Lytechinus pictus: one gene and its partner. The main gene of each other region encodes a partner of the protein of the gene in region 2 in a complex. Links are inferred from orthologs where the notes say so. Each region holds a gene or a part of one and is shown on either strand. Other genes may lie near its edges.

Region 1 (6,023 bases), on a different chromosome or scaffold from region 2:
GTCTGATTGATCTGTCTAGGAAAGAGAGAAAGAAAATGAAATAAAATTCACATTTCACTGCATTAAAAAAAAAATCAAACCAATGTATTATATATCAAAAAGACTGAACAGTGATTTTTCAGAAAATAAGTTCTCAAAACCTTTGGGTTTGACATAGAATTTTTTAAATAAATGTTATTGCAATTTTACAAACATTTGGAGGTTTCATATGGGTTTCTGTGGTATTAGTTGCGTGTCTTTACTAATTTTGCTCATTAATAAACACAAGAGGCAAGCATCGTCCCACTGCAATTCATTATTATGGATGCACAAGGTATAACAACCTTTCAAATCTTGTCATCATTATGAAGTGATTTACCTATCATTCTACTTGTAAGTATCTCTTGATCTGTAACGCCCCTCTCTCTCCTGAGATGATTGGTGGGTATTCTACCTGCTGCTGCAGCCTTTTGCCTGTAATCAACCTTGGAAGTAAAAAGACACAGGAAATGAAATGTAAAAATAATGCATGAGCAAAATACATGTAATGGGTAATCTTTAATTCTGTTTGACTTTTTATGGGTAGCTTATTTCAAAATAATTTTTAAACTAAATTTCCTGTATTATCTGTATGTACTGAGCCTGGAATGTACTGGCAGCTCAAGCTAAAGCTGGGGAATAATAGTTATGTGTGTATCCTCTGGAAAATGTGCTAATTATAGCACGATTAGTTATTATTGATTGTTCACACTAGTTTGATAGCCAAATTCGACAACTTTCAATGAATTCCTAATCCTTTACACAATGGTAAATTAATGTCGCAATATCATGCAAACTGAATGCATGATATCACTTCAAACTGAATGCCATCATGACCAACAGCAATATCTACTTCCGTGAGTTTTTCATACTCTACCTAATATTCGAAACATTCCTGTATTTATCATTAAATCTTTATTTACTCACTGTCAATGGAAGAAAACCAGGAGACGATGAATTCTTCTTACTGACTGCGGTAACCATGACAGATGTATCCCCAATCTGAAATACAATAAATAAACAGGAATGCATAATTAATGTATGCATTAACTAGCATTGGAATATACAAATATTATAAATAATATAACAATAATAAAAAATCTACTCAGTTATGATTTATAAAAGATATATCAAAGGAGATTTTTCTTCAAATTAAAGTTATGATTTATAAAAGATATGTCAAAGGAGATTTTTCTTCAACAAATTTTACTGTGACTTTTACTTTTAACAAAAATATTTACATAAAGTCAAGATGCAAAATGAATATGGATAACTCTTTCACCGCAGGTACTTGATCCAAACTGAAACAAAAAAAGGTGTTATATAAAATGGTTTAGGCTAGATAGTTAAAATAACATAAAATTGTATATTCTCTCCAGTCTGAGAGAATAGAAAAGAAGAATGGATTATCCAATAACATTGTCAAAATAGATATTCAATCATACATATAGGAGACACCAAAATATTTTTTTTTTAAAGTCTTTTAAGAACCAAAGTGAGACTGAAGTAAATGCTAACCAGTAAATTAAAATAACCATTAAAAGACCAGATCATAAAACATTACACCATTTCAAATATTGGCCTTGATTTTCTGCATTTCAAAAGTACTTCCTATAGATATCTAGAAATATGAGACTCACCCATAAAACAAAAATAACTAGGCCTAAATGTTTATTTAATTTCCATTCAGAAGTATAAAAAAATGAAGAAAGCAAAACCTAAGCATAAAAATTCATTGAAAAAATAAATATCATGCTCAGTAATTGAAAATCAAATAGTAAAGCATGTGTTAAATATGCACTTTGAGCATTTAATAGTCTGGATATGGATTCATATAACTTAATTATATTAATACTTCATCATCTTAATCTATTCAGCTCACTTACCTGAGCAGTTGCACATCCATCAGCTAACTTTGCCAATTCCCCAGTAGACAGGATAAGAGGACTATAAAGTTAAAAAGAAGGGATCATAAATTATGCTATAATTTTGCTACAACACTCTATTTAAATAAAATATTAAAATACAGAAGTGTACTATAATTTGCACAAAATAGTAAGTTTCATATTTCAATTTTGAAAAGTTTAGAAGTTTTGGGCAAAACAACTTAGTTGCAGTCGTGTTCCTAAATGTATGCCATGGAGTACCTCAAGTGATGTTCATGCAGGCTCTACTCCACTTCCGCTACACTATGCTCCACCTACCAGTAGAGGCGCTGGTCCAAAAATTGGGATTGTCACAGAAAACAAGGATATCCTCATAAACCAAGACAAATCATGTCTTGATAAATTGAGACTGTCCTTGTTTATGGGGACTTTTTTTTTCACTTCCCCCTACGGGACAAAGACATCAATTAAGGGAATTGAGAGTGCTAAAAATAGATTCAGTGACCTCAATTCCCCCCAGTTCATCGTCTATTTTTCATGACTTACCGTCTTCCAATAATCTTGTTATGAAACCTGATATGTTTACATTGACTAGCCCACTTGATTGGTGTCGGTACTTGACAGGATTCTTGTGTGAAGAAATCTTTAAAAACTGAGACAGTCCCAGTAAACTGGGACGATCCCAATTTTCTGACCAGCGCCTCTACTGCCTACCCGAACATCGAGCCCCAAAACTCGCTCTGATAGTTACTCCGAGTGGCAAAAAAATGCATATTTAATGTAAAAATCCTACATCGATCGAAACTAGCTTAGCAAGGATATGAAGCTTAGTTTCTCACTTTTCATCCTAATTTCACTCCATATCCATCCTCCGCTTAGCCTCATAATTGGTGATTCAGAGCCAATATCGAGTTCCTCACACATATAAATAATTCGTTACCGATTTCAAAACTTCGCATGCGCACGCACGAGGGTCTGAGCTCGGATCCTCGCACATGCACAATTTTGTTGTTGTTGTAAAGACACTTACATCCGTGAAGATGGTTATAACATATTACTTTATGTTAGGAGGTCCTACTTAGTCTTGAGGACTCCATGATGATGTCTTTTAAAACAAATTGACATGATGGAGAAGTATGTCAAATTTGTTTTAAAAGACATCATCATGGAGTCCTCAAGACTAGGTCCTACTGAAAAAATGCAAATGTGATAAAAATAAAAACTGAAAATGTGAAATGAAAAACAAAAATTGAAACTTATTTTTTTTGGAGTAGGCCTAAACGTAAAACTAAAATGACAGATTAATTGTAGATTCTCCAACCACCATTCATAGAGTAAACATTGAAGTGCAGTAAGGTGTTTAAAGTGTTAAACATGCGTGTAGTCACCACTAAAAATGGTTGGTCATAAGTCAATGTGTGATTTTTTACCTCTGCCCAATTACTGCTTCCACACTGCCAGTTGATGTTGCATAGCCTGTGGCAAAATGCTTCAATCTTCTAGATTTTGTGGACCACTGGCAACGTGGTCGTGGAGTTCCTACAGCATATCGCATGTGTACTAATGCACGCCACATTTTTCCTGTCAATCAAATGATGATAATATAACTTCATATGGATTAAACGCAAAAAGAGCGAGAGCCGAGTGGGTCTCGATCTCTCAGTGAATCTTCGTGTCTATAAATTAATGATACCGGTACGATACACTCTTTCACTCGGGGAGCTGCCGGGGTAGTATTCACGAGATGCCGCTGATCATCCCGCATGCACGTACAGCAGGGCGAACAAATTATGACACGCTGCTCTATCCATTCGAGTATGGGAAGCCAAGTTGAATAAATTTGATAATTTTTTTAAAAATATATTTCCCGGGATATTTTCTTAGAACACTTCCGCCGTAAAATAAATTTGAACCATGTTCAGTAATAATTATGTAAAAATCATTTATTTCAATTTGTATCTCTGTGATGAAAGCAAAATAAACTCCATTTATGTTTCTTACAGGCCCTCTTTAATTTGTTTTCATGGGCGGACCGGCGGCCGCAAAAAAAAAAAGGAAAGGAGAATAAAAAAGAAGAAAGAAAGAAAAGATGATGGAAATTAAAGGGAATCGGGAACTTTGGAAGAATCGAAAAATAGCAAAGCATTCAGGTTATTAAACCCTGGGGACGTTTTCAGTAACCCACAAACTTTTTTGCTTTTTTAGTCCCCCCCCCCCCCCATTTCCTCATCTACTATATACTGTACATGAATTGTAGAATGCATTTGTCATCTATTGTATTTATATATGTATATTTTTAATGAATTGAAATGCATTTACATGTACGTACGTATCATCTTCATGAATTTCACAAGCATTCCCTAAAATTTCTTCGTTTCAATCTTTAAGAATTAAATATATGAAATATATAAAAATATACGCTAGTGCTCGCGCTCGCGTTATTTATCCAGGCCCCGTGAGATACAATATCTTTTTTTTTTAAATAATAAAGCCAATTTCTACTTAACAATTAATTCAATCTTTATTCAGTACCACCCACCCCCAAAACCCAACAACAACAAATCGGTTTAACAGCGGCAGATTGGAGAAACTGTTAATGAAAACAAGTTTGTCGCCCACTCCCTATTTGCCGCAAAAGCTGAATCCACCCCTGTAATAATTCTTAAATTTGAAACAGCAACCTTGATTAAATTAAATCTTAAAATCGTAATAAGCGATTAAGTTTTAAAAGCAATCTCCTGCCTGAATCATTTATAATTGGTTGGCAAAATCTCCCTGCTGTATCCAAAATGCAACTCGTAACAAAGGTCACGAATAACGAAAAAGGGTAGGCCTACTGCATTTATGGACTGCAAATCACGAAAATTCATAATGGTGCTAGACGGAAAGAGAGAGAGAAAAAAATCATCATCGAAAACGATAAGTAGGCTCACATACCGGTGGCGGATCCAGGCCCTGCGGGCCTCTCCCCATAGACCTTTTAATTAAGCCTGCTCTACTCCTTCTATTCTCATTGTCATATATCCATCCTCTCTTCTCCATTTCCTTTTTACTCTCTCCCATTTCCTTCTTTGATCCACCCCCCTCATCACTTCCCTTATTTTGTTTGCCTTTCCTTTTCCCTTTCTTCTTTACGCATTAATTTACTCTATTTTTTCCTCTTTATTTTCTTTCCTGTCTCCCTTTTACTTTTCTTTGATTTTTTTTATTGGTGTGTGCGTGGGGGGGGGGGGGCGGCAAGTTCACCTCGGACCCATGAATCCGCATCTGCCTGCTCCCCTCTTCCAATTCTCATTTTCTTACCCCACTAAATTCACACACCAACACACTCAATCTACACACCCACATACATTGCTCTGCTTCCCGCCTCATCTCTCATTCTTGTATCGTTTTCCCACTGTTCTATCTCTCTCTCCCACTCCCCCTCTCTCCCTCGCATGTGTCTCTTTTAGTATCTTCCTCTTATTTCTCTGTCTCTTTTTAAGTCCCCTCTCCTTTCTTTTATTGAGAGATACTTGGAAGGACCTTTAATGTTTTTAATATTTTTTTATTTAAAAAAATGTTACCATTTATTTATACCATCTAAAAAACTAATATACAAACTACCTGTACTTTATATTTCGTATCAGTTGATGTCAATATTGTGTTCTAAATATTGAAGGGAACTTAATTATTTTACAGGGCCACATGATCTACCCTTTCTTTCTTTTTAGGTTTTTACTTGTATGAATGTGTATTTTATAAAAGCAGGTATTTCATTTATATTGTAGTGACCTTGATACAGAGGAGGGGAAGTTGAAAGGGGGGAGCACAGGGGGAAAAGGGCACCTTTTCTTTCGAAAAGGGCACTATCTTAAAACAAAGAAAAGTGACTTATCTACAGAAGCATAATGGCCAAAATTTTGAGGGGGCTAGATATATCGTGTCACATAAAAAATTATAAGAAGTTGCGAGCGAAGCGAGCGAGCAATTTTTAAAAAACATTTTTATAGCGAAAATCTAATTTTGTGATAGATTTTGACAACAAATATTTATAAAATATCATATTTCACCCTTCTCTCTTTCCTTTTCTATTTTTTTCTTGGTCGTAAAAAATTTGGGGAAGGGGCAAGAGCCCCA
Region 2 (6,023 bases):
CAGATATATAATGACTTGATGGATGATGCCTATATCCTTTACTTTATGCAGTTTATTTGCTATTCTTTTTAAAACTTGTCCTGAAGTTTGAATGTCAATATGACATTTTATTTTGTTTTCCTATGCATTTGCCAGTGAAATATTTTCAGCTTTGAATTGTAGTTTTACCTGGGGTATCTTCGATGAAACTACTCCATAATACATAGAAAAAAAGTGAAGTAGAGCTGCTTCATTTTTTCCCCTTTAAATTTGTAAACCACATTCATTTTTTGTTAGTCTCATGTTCATGCTGTAATTTCAGGATTGCAATTGTGCAACAAGGAGAGAAATTCAAAAAATAAGAAGAAGGTCTTATTTTAATTTCATTCTGTAGAGTACTTTAAGTTAGCCTGCCATTATTTTCAGAAATATCCAGTCAATATTGATTTTAAAATATAGTATTATTTTGCTAATCCTTTTTATTTGTTTTTCAAAGCATCTTCGGTTCTTGATTTCCATTCTAAAAAAATGTATACTGTTAAGTTAAACTTGTCAGTGTCATTATGTATGGAAGTTACAGGGCATTGAAAACAACATCAAGTTGATTTACATTGTAAGTAGATAGTGAAAAATCAAACAGGCATAATGCTTGCAATTTCGTCAAAATCAGTTAAAGTTTTGCTTGATTTTACAATATGTATATCAGGGGTGGAATACAAATAAGGAACAGTTGCTGTCTCGCATTAAGTGCATTTATTTCTTATAATGAAATATATTATTTTTCATGTGTTTCCTTCTTATATTTGTAAACCATGATTTGACTTTGACTCTATGGCTTGAACATGTTAAATGCCCCAGACTTAAATAATCAAGGGGGGGGGGCAAGCAGGCCTCCCCCAATCCATATTTTTCATTGTATGGAAAATGCTCTCTGTGAGTGATGATCATGTTGGGTTTTTTTTCCTCAAAACAGAAGGGGGGAATTGCCCCACCCCTGGTAATAATAATGATAATAATAATAGCGGTATATTTACCCAGGGTAGCCGCTTCAGTTCCGAAAACTGTTCTCCCAGCGGGCCCTGCTATTAAATTCTGGATCTGTCCATTCAATGACCTTTAATGTAACTTCTACAAATCATTCAAATGTTGTTTTTTTTGTGATCAAATCTACAAAACCTGAAATGGTCTGTATATCATTTAATAACTTAAAAACAAAATATTGAAAGTGTGACATCATCAACTCTCATTTATTTCACCTTTTAATCAATTCAAGCTGAATGGAATTGAGTTTGAGATTTCAGGTGCAGTAAACATATATGATTGTGTTACAAAAAATTTCCCTCTTATATTTGTAGATAATAATGTATGGTTTTAAGTGAGCAGTAATGTAGCTTATTTATTTATTTATTTGTTCTCTTCTGGGAACTAATGAAGATGTGAATTAGATGATAGTGTGAAAAGAAAATGATCAAGAATACAACATTTGAAGTGTTTAGCATGATTCTTTTTTTATTGCTTGAAAGTACCTGAAAAGGGGGTTGAAATGGTGAGGAAACCATCAGTGGAAAAGACACAGTGCAAATATTCATACTAGTAACTAAATGATAAGCACTGCATAAACAAAATAAAACAAAACGATACAATAACTGAGTGAGTTCAATTGTGTGTAGTATGCACTCATGCCACTTCTTACAACCAAGGAATTACACACAAACTTCACATTTCACGTAAGTGTATGAGGGGGAGGGAGGAAGAGAGAAGAGAGAGAGAGCATGAGAACGAACAAGGGAAAGAGAGAGATGTTAATAAAAGCAAAGAGAAAGTCGTGTTGCCTCTAAAGGAGGGGGGGGGGGTTCACCATAGCATAATGTTGGCTTTAATAAAAGCAAAATTTCATGTGATTTCATGAAAACGCATTAAAGAACAAATTGAGAAATATTCTAATTTTATTTTGTGATGTCACATGCTGGCAGCTCTCTGATTGTTGTGAGATATAAATTCCTTAAAAAGCAAAATTCTAAAAAAATTGAAAATTATTTTACCTGTTCTTTTAATATGCTATCAGACACAGATCCTTGCAATGAAAATATTTTCAATCATTTCAATATATAAAAATATAAAATTTATGGAGATTATACAAATATTCGCATATGGTATCACAAAAGTTCATGTCTCCAAAGTTATTTTTTGATAGATTTCTGTCAAACTTTCATTGAGTGTGTTTCTCTTATTTTTCTGCAACTTGATGTCAGAATGGAAGTGGGAATTCCCCTTCAATTTATTCACCATGCATTTCATTCTAAAATAAAACATTATGTTTGATATATTAAAAGTGCTAGGAAAGTGCAAACAAGGCAAAATGAAAATATGTTTTGTGTGCATGTAAATGTTGCTCTGAAATGAATGAAATAACTGCTCCAGAAGGGCAGAAACGCCCCACCCCCTCTCAAAAAAAGTTGTGGTGATTAAGATGGCCCTCTACGTTACAAACTTGTTAACAACATGTGTAACCTTAAATATTCCCGAGTGGAAATAAGTTCGGAGGAACTCAATTGAAATAGCAATTGGAGCAGGTATTTCATTTTTCCTTGATGTCAAATAGTATATATTTGTTTTATAATGTCTAGTAAATATGGTCGGCCATATTCCATTGTCAGGACATTTCGTTGTTTTTCTTGTGCACAACGAACACTTCCAGCAGTACCACGAACGATTTTAAACAGAACGTTGGACTCTCACCATGCCGCAACTCCGGGGTCAGGGATCCACTCCGTCCGTCGTCGATCATTTTTATTCGCGGCGAATTCGGGAGGAGCTTGTCGGGAGAGCGGGCGACCGGCGTTAACAACTTCTTCATCTGGGATCTGTCGGAGTTTTTCAGACAAGGATGACAAGAATGTTAGAGCATTGTTTATTCCTGTTCCTGTAAAACCTGCTAATAATCCAGATGACATAAACATCGGTGAAGAGCTTGGTGCAAATTTGAAGAACAAGAAAGGTATGAAAATCATGTTGAAAATAACTTGAGTATGTTAACAGGCCTGCCTATCGCCTATGCTTGTTATTTATATTTTCTACTTTAGGGGTCTATAGGCTTATTTCTAAATTATCATGATTATGATGTAATGCAATGTGGTGGCTATAAGGCTATATTTCTTGTAAGGAAAATGAAATAGAATGTAGTCACAAACATCTCAGATTCATTATTAATGAACGATCGATTGTGAATGTTTTGAAATTGTTTTTTTTGGTACTAACGGCTTAGATTTATTATACATTTCATAATGATCTCCCGTTCTCCAAAAAGAAACATAAAAGGACGCATTTTCTCAACCTCGTCGGAAAGGAAAATGAAAATTAATAGATGTCACGACGATCTCAAATTAATTGCACAATCTATCAGGAAATGTTTTAAAGTTACTTTGACTTTGAGACTGTTTAAATATTGCGCCAAGAGGTATTTCAAATTGCCACCGATCATACCGATACACGTATGATCGGCGTGAAACAGCCGATCAGCCTTGATTAGATCGTTATTGGCTGCCGATCCGAAGATCAGGTATGATCTAAATCAGTGATTTTTTATCCATGCATATTAATTTTATATTTGTTCTTTTATTTTTCAATTTCTTTACAGATGAATTGATGAAGATTCTCACAAAGTTTTCAAAAAGGCCAACTATCCAGAGGCTTGCCGAAGAAGAAGGATTAGATGGTAAGATGATCTCTTACGAATGGTCATATGTAGGCACAGCAGTGACAGCACCATGTATTGTAGTGGCACTTACAGAGGCACAACTGTCCTTACTATTTCTTAAGATGAAGGAAATAGAAGTGTATTGGTAACAAGAATGCTTGGACGTGCTACTGATATGAATTTGTTTCATCATTGTTTCATCATGAACCCCCCCCCAAAAAAAAAAAAATAAATAAAAAATACCCTGGAGCTGTCCTTCACCAAGTGGATAAATGTCTTTGGAAATGGCACTTGACTCCTGTCTGGATCATTGTAAATTATTTTCAGTCTTTGAGTCAATAGTCCTCTGGGAAGACGTTGATCTACATTACCTCCTTGTGCTTACCCAGCACAAATCAGCATAGTTTATTAGGGCCCGTATTCTCAAGTCGGGTTAAATCTAGAGTAAACTCTGGTTTAAAGTTGTGGATAAACTATGAATGACCAAGAGTGCAATAAATCTCAAACAGTATAATTTCAATGTATCAGCTCATTGTTCTCTCAAATCATTTTTAACAGTTTTGGAAGGATAAATAAATTTTGGGCTTTCCATAATTTTAGCACAGAGTTAAACCATGGTTGAAGTTAAACGTGGCTTCAGAATACAGGCCTAAGTGTTTGAGATACCATGGTGCTTTGAAATTACTCCCAAGTGAGTTACATATGTGCATTCATTGCGGGTAAGTTTCATTCTGGTCACCATTTCATTAAGCTTAGTCAGCACTGACAACTTGTCAATCTCTGATAGTTACTATAGTAACAATCAGATCAATGCTTCTTAGTCACTGGAAACCTGGATTTCACTAAAATTGTCACTGCTGATAATTTAGTCAGTTCTGAAAACTTTCATGACACACCCCTGATGATTAGGAAAATATGAAAAATGCTTTGATAAAGATGTACACAAAAGAGAAAAGAAAGAATGAAGAGCTTGATGTCCTGCTTATCTCATGTCTTGGTATCCTTTCTCAGATAACCTCTTTCATCAAAGTTTCATGAGCTTCAGGAAATACATCACAGAGGTGGAGTCTGTGGAGCCTGATCTGCATATTATTCTTAGTGACATTCTGGTAGGGGCGGGGCATATAGATGACATCTTTCCATACTTCATACGCCATGCCCGCCAGATCTTTCCTGCCCTGGATTGCATGGACGATCTGAAAAAGATCAGTGACCTCACAGACCCAGCCCAATGGTAAGTGTTGATCTGCATTTGCACCATTTTGTACCAGGATAGTATCCTGTGGGCAATAATTCAGAAAAACAATCAAAGATATACAAAAGATCTGTAATGTCGGAGTGGAGAGTTTACCAAACTTATCAACTACCAGTATTTAAAATAATCTTTAAGAAATGATGAAAAAGCTGCCATTTAAGATTGTAAATCATTTGAGATTAGCATGAAACAATGAAATTTTGAATGTTTACAAAGTTTAGGAGTCAAAAGTTCAGGAATGAAATGGAAAAGAGAGAGAGAGAGATATATATATATATTTGTAACTATACCTACATAGAATGTAGTATGGAATAGCTGAAGAAAAATAGAGAATATTAATGTTGTAACCCGCAAGTGAAAACCCGAACCGTACCGTCCCGTACAATCCATTAATTTGCAAGCGGGACCCGTTGACCCGTCCGGTTTTAACCCGCAAGTCAATTTATCTTGGAAAAATTAAAATTATTTCTGCAATCCCCACACTATGCAGGCTCAAATCAGGAAAATATATGCCAACTACTAACCTAGCCTAGAGTGAATTTACTTACAATTTGCAAATTCGCCTTTTATTCCGGAGAGAAAATGTTTTTTTTTGTTACTTTGTACCACGAAATGGGTCCGCTCTGATCTCGAAATTGAAAGCATTGCGCAATTAACTCCTCGGATCGGAGCCGCAGCTCAGCGCGCGCTAGCTAGCGCCCAGGCTGCCCAGCAAAGATCGGCAATGTTGTTTTTCAGTCCAGGACAGTCGACACGGCGACTCACAACAATCATAATTACAATATTCAATTCTATGGGACCTCGTCTGTAAAGTAATCAAAATTGAAATAAATACCTTGATAATGATCCAGTCAATTTTTTCTTCTCGTATATCTCGTTATTATTATTTCCTTCTGTTTTTGCATTTCATTCGATATGGCCGCTGAAATTCGATGTTCAGTTTCCCGTCGCCCGCCCGCGTTATGAAATTTGGACCGCGTTCAAAAATCAAATTCTGAAAATAATTCATTATTTTACTATTTTGACATACATGTAGATCTAGATTCAGAACTGATATAAAACATTAATATAAGCTTTTCAGTCACAATTACT

What was found. The genes of interacting proteins can lie anywhere in the genome.
Region 1: ATP-dependent RNA helicase SUPV3L1, mitochondrial-like (region 2) and polyribonucleotide nucleotidyltransferase 1, mitochondrial-like share a complex: the UniProt entries of both Homo sapiens proteins name them as parts of the mitochondrial degradosome (mtEXO) complex. The link is inferred for Lytechinus pictus from reciprocal best matches to the Homo sapiens genes SUPV3L1 and PNPT1.

The regions. Positions count from the first base shown.
Region 1 is NC_087251.1:30,703,548-30,709,570, reverse strand, and holds the start of polyribonucleotide nucleotidyltransferase 1, mitochondrial-like, read right to left. Parts: upstream 3,710-6,023; 5' UTR 3,481-3,709; coding exon 3,335-3,480; intron 1,966-3,334; coding exon 1,905-1,965; intron 1,021-1,904; coding exon 946-1,020; intron 465-945; coding exon 359-464; intron 16-358; coding exon 1-15. UniProt on the Homo sapiens protein: RNA-binding protein implicated in numerous RNA metabolic processes. Catalyzes the phosphorolysis of single-stranded polyribonucleotides processively in the 3'-to-5' direction. Mitochondrial intermembrane factor with RNA-processing exoribonulease activity.
Region 2 is NC_087256.1:1,236,328-1,242,350, reverse strand, and holds the start of ATP-dependent RNA helicase SUPV3L1, mitochondrial-like, read left to right. Parts: upstream 1-2,326; 5' UTR 2,327-2,598; coding exon 2,599-2,977; intron 2,978-3,616; coding exon 3,617-3,694; intron 3,695-4,687; coding exon 4,688-4,910; intron 4,911-6,023. UniProt on the Homo sapiens protein: Major helicase player in mitochondrial RNA metabolism. Component of the mitochondrial degradosome (mtEXO) complex, that degrades 3' overhang double-stranded RNA with a 3'-to-5' directionality in an ATP-dependent manner.